Linked DNA regions of Neurospora crassa OR74A. The protein of the gene in region 1 binds, or shares a complex with, the protein of each later gene. Links are inferred from orthologs where the notes say so. Each region holds a gene or a part of one and is shown on either strand. Other genes may lie near its edges.

Region 1 (3,400 bases):
AGCTTTGATCGAAAGGGACAGACTTGTTGTTGTTGTGGGTGGTGGTTGACGGGAGGACAAGGACGTGGTCGCGAATGAGGTTGCAAAGAAGGGCGGGCGGGCGGCCGAACCCTTGAGAAAGCTGAAGAGCTGAGTGGGAATGACTGGGGATGGAGGTCAAGCTTGGGTGAGGGTCCTTTTGCGGTCCGAGTCTTGTTGGTGGTTGGTCGGACTCGGGGGGAAATGGAGTTGGAGTGGTCCGGCGAGGCGGGTTGCCGTCATATGTATTCTTGTACTTGTTGTCTGTCTATGAATTCCTGAACTCAAGTGTGAAAGTGCGAGGAAACTGCAAGGTGGTGCGGGCTTCTTGCTTTTGGCTGCAGGGATATGAGGCAATAGCCTTGTTTGAGGGCCTTGCTATTTTACCTGGAGCTGTAACAGGAAGAACAGCAACAAACCGTTTGGTGGCAGTGAAGCTGAGGTGAGAATAAGCTGAAGCTCAAGGTAAAACTGCTCAAATCGATTGGAGAACAGGGAAAAAGGGGACGAGCAGAAACAAAACAAAAGGGGGCCCGGCATTGCAAATCTTCGCCTCTTTACTCCTCTTTTCACGATCCCACCTGTTGCCGTGGTAGCGGTGGTCTAGCCAAATTCCGAAAGACACAATTGGAGAATCAGCCGACGGGGGAGCGGGGACTTGGGGGAGAGTGGGAGACACCATCCTGGCTGGAGCTTGGTTGCGCCGAGGTTGTCATTGGTGGTTTGGGTCAGGGCTGATGGAATGTTTCTAACCAGATGGGGATGTTGCTAGCAATGGACGACTTGAGTCTCAACGATCATCTGGGGTACGCTTTCAGAGATGGGTACTGTATGTATATCGCTGTCTAACTTGCCTCTGGAGTCGTCGGGTAGAGATACTATGACAAGCTGTTTGCAAGCTGACTTGAGATGGTACATGCCCGGGCTAGCTGTCTGATTGTGTCCAGAATGGCCGCACTCATTATCTTCCTTGACAAATACAGACGATTCAACAGTTCATTGTCCAATAATGACTTCTCATAAAATGTGCTCATTGTTAAACTCTTCTTAACATCAACTACGGTCATTGAGTCCTCACATGTTCTGTTGCTGATGCCTCAGACTCTCACACTTTCAGAGCTTCAACTACAGCTACTTCCCGAAAGCGTTAGTGTAGTCAAAAAAGCAGCTATGTAAAGAGCATGCATGAGACACCCCTCCCGACTGGCTCCACACTCTTCGTCCAAGTTTTGGCGCGTCCCCTTCTTCTCTCTTTTCTCGCGTTACTTAGGAGCCTGCTTACCTAATGCAGGGTACGTACCTCTAACCTGGCATCCCCGTCCCGCAAACAATTTTCGATGGGGTCCCCGCGTCCGGCGGGCACGACGGACAGCAGCCGGCCGGCCGGTCATCAATCAATCAATCAATCGATCGATACGCGGCGTCAACCGTGGAATCCCCATTCAGTTGCCGGGTTTCGGTCCTCTCGACAGCCAACTAACTTCAGCCACTACTCGCTCGGTAACAGGGACAGAGTAACCGGTTGCCCAAGATGATTCAACTAAAGGTTTGTTTTTTTTTCTTCTTCCCTTGCTGTCGAACGAAAGCAAAAAGAGTTTGGTTGCTAACGAACCATGCGAACTGCAAACAGACGATGCTCAACTGCATCGACAACTCGGGTGCTGCCCTGGTGGAATGCGCCATGGTTGTCGGCCAAAAGAGGCATGCTTCGATTGGTATGCTTTCGAATTCCCTTTCGATTTCCGTTATACACCCACGAACCCATCGTCGACTCGAGCATATCATATCTACACGAACTACCCGATCCCTCTTTCGTACCCCAACACCAACACCGTCGTCGCCGTTCATACCCGTCCCATCCCGTCCGATTCTTCTCGTCCGACCAAGGAACATCTGGTCTTATACACATATCATACTTGCCTCTTGCCCCTCTTGTTCCTCCCTCCCCCTTCTTTCCCCCCTCTTGTCCCCCTCCCCCTTCTTTCCCCCCTTCTTTCCCCTCCTCATACCTCAACTAACAGAAGAAAGGCGACCGCATAGTAGTAGTCGTCCAAAAACAGCGCGGCGCCGACTCGGCCGGCATGGCCGCCTCTTCGGCCGCCACCAAGGTGAAGCGCGGCGACATCCGCCACGCCGTGGTAGTGCGCACCAAGCAAAAAGTCCAGCGCCGCGACGGTTCGGTCGTCCGGTTCGACGACAACGCCTGTGTCTTGATCAACAAGGCCGGCGACCCGATCGGATCGCGCATCAATGGTGTGGTGGGCCAGGAACTGCGAAAGAAAAAGTGGAGCAAGATATTGAGTATGGCGCCTATGCAGGCTTAGCTAGGCTTGATTGATCGATCAGGGAGGATATATGTACGATGGATGTAGCGGGAGAATCAAGATGGAATGAAATATGAATACCCGTAAAGAAAAAGAGTTGAGTTTGTTGGGGTGGGATGTGGCGTGACGCTCCTTGAAGTGAAGAGGAGTATGCTCGGTGGGATGTGTCATTGCGGTGACTTGGTGACTCTCGTGGGGGGTTTGGGTGTCGGCTCAGCTTGGGTTGGCTGTGTTGAGGTAATGACTGACGATGAGCGCTACGGAACATCACTTTGTTGATATCTGACGGAACTGTGGTTTGTGTGTCTACGGATTTCCAGGATGGACTTGGGATGGCCTGGCGTATACGGGTTTGAGACTGCGACGTTGTTCTCAAGGTACGACGGCTTCACACACCGGACATCACACCAAAATATGGTCTCATCGAACGGCCTTTCTTCAAGCGCCATTTTGGGTAACGATCAGCCAGCAGCAGCCGTCACATCAGTCGATTAGGTTTACCAGTCACTTCAGTTCGGGACATCAAGCGTGCCGTCCTAATCTGTGTATACTACTGTACATTACATGTCATGTCAAGCAAAACAACATCACCATTGCATATCACACGAAACAGTTTATAACGTTATCCACGAGATTCATGGAAAGACCATTTCTAAACCAGTGTCCTGCCAAAGCATGAAAAAGAAAACCAAACGCCCTAAACCGCGGTCCTTTTGAGTTAACCGTGTACAAACGCCACTGTAATGCAACTCATCATGACCCCCTGATCTTTATTAATCAACCTGTGATTTTTTCCGACCGCCCGCCTGTCCGCCTATAACAAGGATCGATCTGGCCCTATTCCTTCCGAGTGAAGAGTGAATCCCCCACTACTGGTAAATATTACCACAATCGCAGCAGACGTAGAAAAGTTTCTGAAAGTAACGTTGTTAACCCATGACTCTGGTGAGCCCCTCCCAGGCAGGTGAGTGAGTCTTACCATTCCGGTTTCCGAAGTACGCTGCTGTGACTGGAAGAAGACAGCTTCCGGGTGGTGGCAGGCAGGGCATTCCTTGATG
Region 2 (3,448 bases), on another chromosome or scaffold:
TCGTACCACTCAACGTATCCTTGACGGTTTCCCACGATCATATCGGGTGGAAGTAGGGAGTCCAGAAAGACCCTGCACAAGTGACAGCCCGCCCCTGCCGACTCGTGAAGGTCACAAATGCTGAAATCCCGCAGGTGCCAATCATCTTCGTCGGCAAGCACGGCGTCTTCCAGGTCCCAGAACCACGGCCCAGTCGTAGGGAACACTGCTTGGCAACCATCACAGAGCTTGTTAAGCTGCCTGGGGGGGTAGCGAGACTTCATGACGGGTTCCTCTGCCAAGGCATTGTCGATCGGTCCATGGTTGAAGTGGGCAGATGGTTTCATGGTGTTGGTTGATTATGATTAGGTCTGTTGTGGGATGGGCAGATGACATGTCAAGGTATCAAGTGAATGAGGAGAGGCTTGCAGCTTCAGGAAGAGCTGGGTGGCCAGGAGATTCAAGGGAAAGAAAGACCATAGACAAGTTCATGCAAAACAAATGGGATTGATGGGGCGCACTGGCGAGTTGGGGCGAACTTTCTCGACGGGATTCGCTCGTTTGAATTCGGTGATCCCTTTGTATGTCGTGAAACTTGAGCCGAAGGTGAATTGCTTCATGCCAGAGAAAGGTTCTTCTGGGAGGCGGTGGTTGCTTAGAATAAAGTAACTGAAGGTAAGGAAAGGAAGAAACCCGCGAAACTACCTCTAGGTAGAAATACCCCTCATTGCTAGGCACACAACGCACCTTCTCAAAGGCGACCAGGCAAAGGGCAAATAGAGGTTAGGCAACAATCAACAAGAGTGACCTAAGCCCTAACCCTATTAAAATCCCCGATCTCGCTCCCTCAATAATCTAACAACTGAAACAAGACCCCCTTGAATCTCGGACAGGGACCATTGGACACCTTTGGGTATAGTCATATAAATCGGCCTTGTCTCTTCTAGAAGAAAAGAAATGTGACGGCGAGATCATCGTGACATCAAAATTCAAAGAACCAATCCGAAAGGGGAGATGTATCGTAGGCAGCTCTGAAGGCGAGTGTTCTTTGAATACGTATGGTTAGCTATCAGGCTGTATCTCAATGGTAGGAATGTCGAGACCATCAGCCTAGGTAGCAGCGTGGCGACTCCAAAGGCAGAGAACCTGGACATGTTCCAATTTCACATATGACCCAGAACAGTGGAGCTGCTAGGTGGTTGATTCCTGGTGGTCAGGTCATATAATGTACAGTGGAGAGTGGCTCGTGGTCCTTCGAACGGGTCTGTGTCGGCAGGCTTTCGGAATGTAATCAGAACTTGGGTATATATTGCGTTTGGTAGTTTGATAGTTGAGTGAGCCTCGCTCCATTTCCTCGCCGTGGTCTGGTATCGTAATGTCCTCCTCCTCCCTCCTTGAAAAAATGACGACCGTTTAGTCGAGACCGTTCTCCGACTTCCAGCGAGCAAGGTAAGTGGCGGGGTTCTTGGGGCCGAGCTTGTCGCCGGGGAACTGGTCGTGGACGGGGCGGATGGTCTTGGAGACGAAGGGGGTGAGCTTTGTTGTTGTTGGATCTTGTTAGCATAATTCTTTTTTATTCTCTTTTGTCCTCCATTCTCGGTCCCTCCCCTAGCACCAGATCCCCCAACACATCCCATTCCAACCCCAAACCCGGACGGAAATAGAGGACCACCCACCTTGAAACCGGTCAGGTCCGGGCACACATAGGTGCGGACCTTGGTGTAGTCGATCTTGTAGGTACCGTAGCTGGTGTGCGTACCCATGGAACCGGTGCGGTTACCCTTGTAGAAACCCTTGTTGACGTCCTTGGTGGTCAGGCGCAACTTGCGGTACTTGAGACCTTGGAGGATGCGAGTGGGCTGCATGGTGGGCTAGGAGGATTGCGCTTTGCGGGGCAACGACGACGGAGAATTGCTTTTTGTGGTCGGTGATCTGGGTGGTGGAAGCACCTCGCTGTGGTGAGGGTGGTTGAGGTGGGCGCAAGTGGGACGGAGACGGGATCCGCTTTAGAGTGTTGAAGATCCGGCGCACGCGACAGGAACGGAGACGGGACTCGGACTCGGACTCGGACTGGCGCTGGACAACACGGACGGCGACGGGCAACGGGCGACGGGCGACGGGGTTGGAATCGAGAAATCGCAAAGACGTCCGGGGCCGCGCCGGGTTGAGGTGGAGCCATTTCAGAAGTTTGGAGCTCAATTGAGCCAATGACGTGAGGCTGGGAGAAACAGGTACCCCTGTAGCCTGCTGCGGCCCCGCAAAATGGGTGGGTGTTGCGCCCTCACCGCCCGAAAATTATCGATTACAGAGGCGGCAGAAAAAGTTTCGGGGGAGCTTGTTCACTGGCAGAAAGTTGAAGGCTTGGTGGGAGTTGCCGTTGAAGGGACCTGACCACTTCGACCTCCAGGACCCGTGCAGGCAAAAGTTGGACATTGACATCCATCGATTCATTCCATCCAACCACTGGACTTCGTCGACAATCTCATCACCCAATTTTTGCTTGCTCGACCTCGAACTTAATTGACTGAATTACCTTCCGACTTCCAATCAGTCAATTCTCAAATACCAGCAAAATGCCCGGCCGTCAAGCCCACGGCAGGCCTCTAATGCCCAAGTCGGGCGGCGGAGGGCGTCCCAAGCACAGAGTCAACAACAAGACTGCCGATAGGAAATCCAGAAACAACGTCCTCGACGCCTTCGCTATTGCCGCCGAACAAGTCCCCCAAAAGAAAGCCAAGGGCGTCCGCACACGAGACCTCGACGAGCCCGAAGAGCGCCCCCAGAAGAGACAACGAGATGGCGACGACGAAGACGATGAGGACGGAGACGAGGATGAGGAAGATCTCGAGGACGCCAGGCCACAAAAGAAGAAGGCCAAAAACAGCGACGATTTCGAAGGCTTCTCCGACGGTGGCGAGGACAGCGATGGCGAGGAGTGGCACGTTGGTGTAGGCGCTGATGACGAAGATTCCGAACTCGACTCTGATGAGGCCTTTGGTGAGAGCGACGAGGAAAAGTTCGATGGCTATGCCTTCAGCGGGAGCAGCTCCAACAAGAAGGGCAAGAAGGCGAAGAAGGGTGGAAACGACAGTGATGAGGAGGAAGAGGACGAAGATGAGGACGATGACTTGGAGTCGCTCGGTTCCGACGCCATCGATCTCGCCACAGCACTGGATCAGTATGAAAGCAGCGAGGAGGAGGAGGGCGAAGAGGAGTCAGGATCGGAAGACGACGCGGACAGCGAATCGAGCGAAAGCGAAGACAGTGACGACGATATGGAAGACCCTTCCAAGCTCGACGACCTCCAAAAGATGATCTCCGGGTTTGCGGGCGACGACAACGACGACGAGGAGCAATCAGGCTCGAAACCAACAAACAAACTCAGTCTCTCAGATCTCGGCCTCCTTGGCGTCCAGGACCCCCACATGAAGAAGTCTCTCAAGCTCATGAACAAGGAGGAAAAGGCCGC

The links.
Region 2: NCU08552 (region 1) and NCU07057 share a complex: the UniProt entries of both Schizosaccharomyces pombe proteins name them as parts of the mitochondrial large ribosomal subunit. The link is inferred for Neurospora crassa OR74A from reciprocal best matches to the Schizosaccharomyces pombe genes mrpl38 and mrpl27.

What each region holds. Positions count from the first base shown.
Region 1 is NC_026503.1:4,951,395-4,954,794, reverse strand, and holds NCU08552 (mitochondrial 54S ribosomal protein YmL38/YmL34), read left to right. Parts: upstream 1-1,252; 5' UTR 1,253-1,549; coding exon 1,550-1,564; intron 1,565-1,648; coding exon 1,649-1,733; intron 1,734-2,046; coding exon 2,047-2,342; 3' UTR 2,343-2,861; downstream 2,862-3,400. Other genes in the region: NCU08553 (DNA directed RNA polymerase II 15 kDa subunit), read right to left, coding at 3,212-3,256, 3,322-3,400. UniProt on the Schizosaccharomyces pombe protein: Component of the mitochondrial ribosome (mitoribosome), a dedicated translation machinery responsible for the synthesis of mitochondrial genome-encoded proteins, including at least some of the essential transmembrane subunits of the mitochondrial respiratory chain.
Region 2 is NC_026506.1:333,780-337,227, reverse strand, and holds NCU07057 (hypothetical protein), read right to left. Parts: upstream 2,126-3,448; 5' UTR 1,845-2,125; coding exon 1,656-1,844; intron 1,516-1,655; coding exon 1,393-1,515; 3' UTR 620-1,392; downstream 1-619. Other genes in the region: NCU17062 (hypothetical protein), read right to left, coding at 1-326; NCU07058 (small nucleolar ribonucleoprotein complex subunit Utp14), read left to right, coding at 2,553-3,448. UniProt on the Schizosaccharomyces pombe protein: Component of the mitochondrial ribosome (mitoribosome), a dedicated translation machinery responsible for the synthesis of mitochondrial genome-encoded proteins, including at least some of the essential transmembrane subunits of the mitochondrial respiratory chain.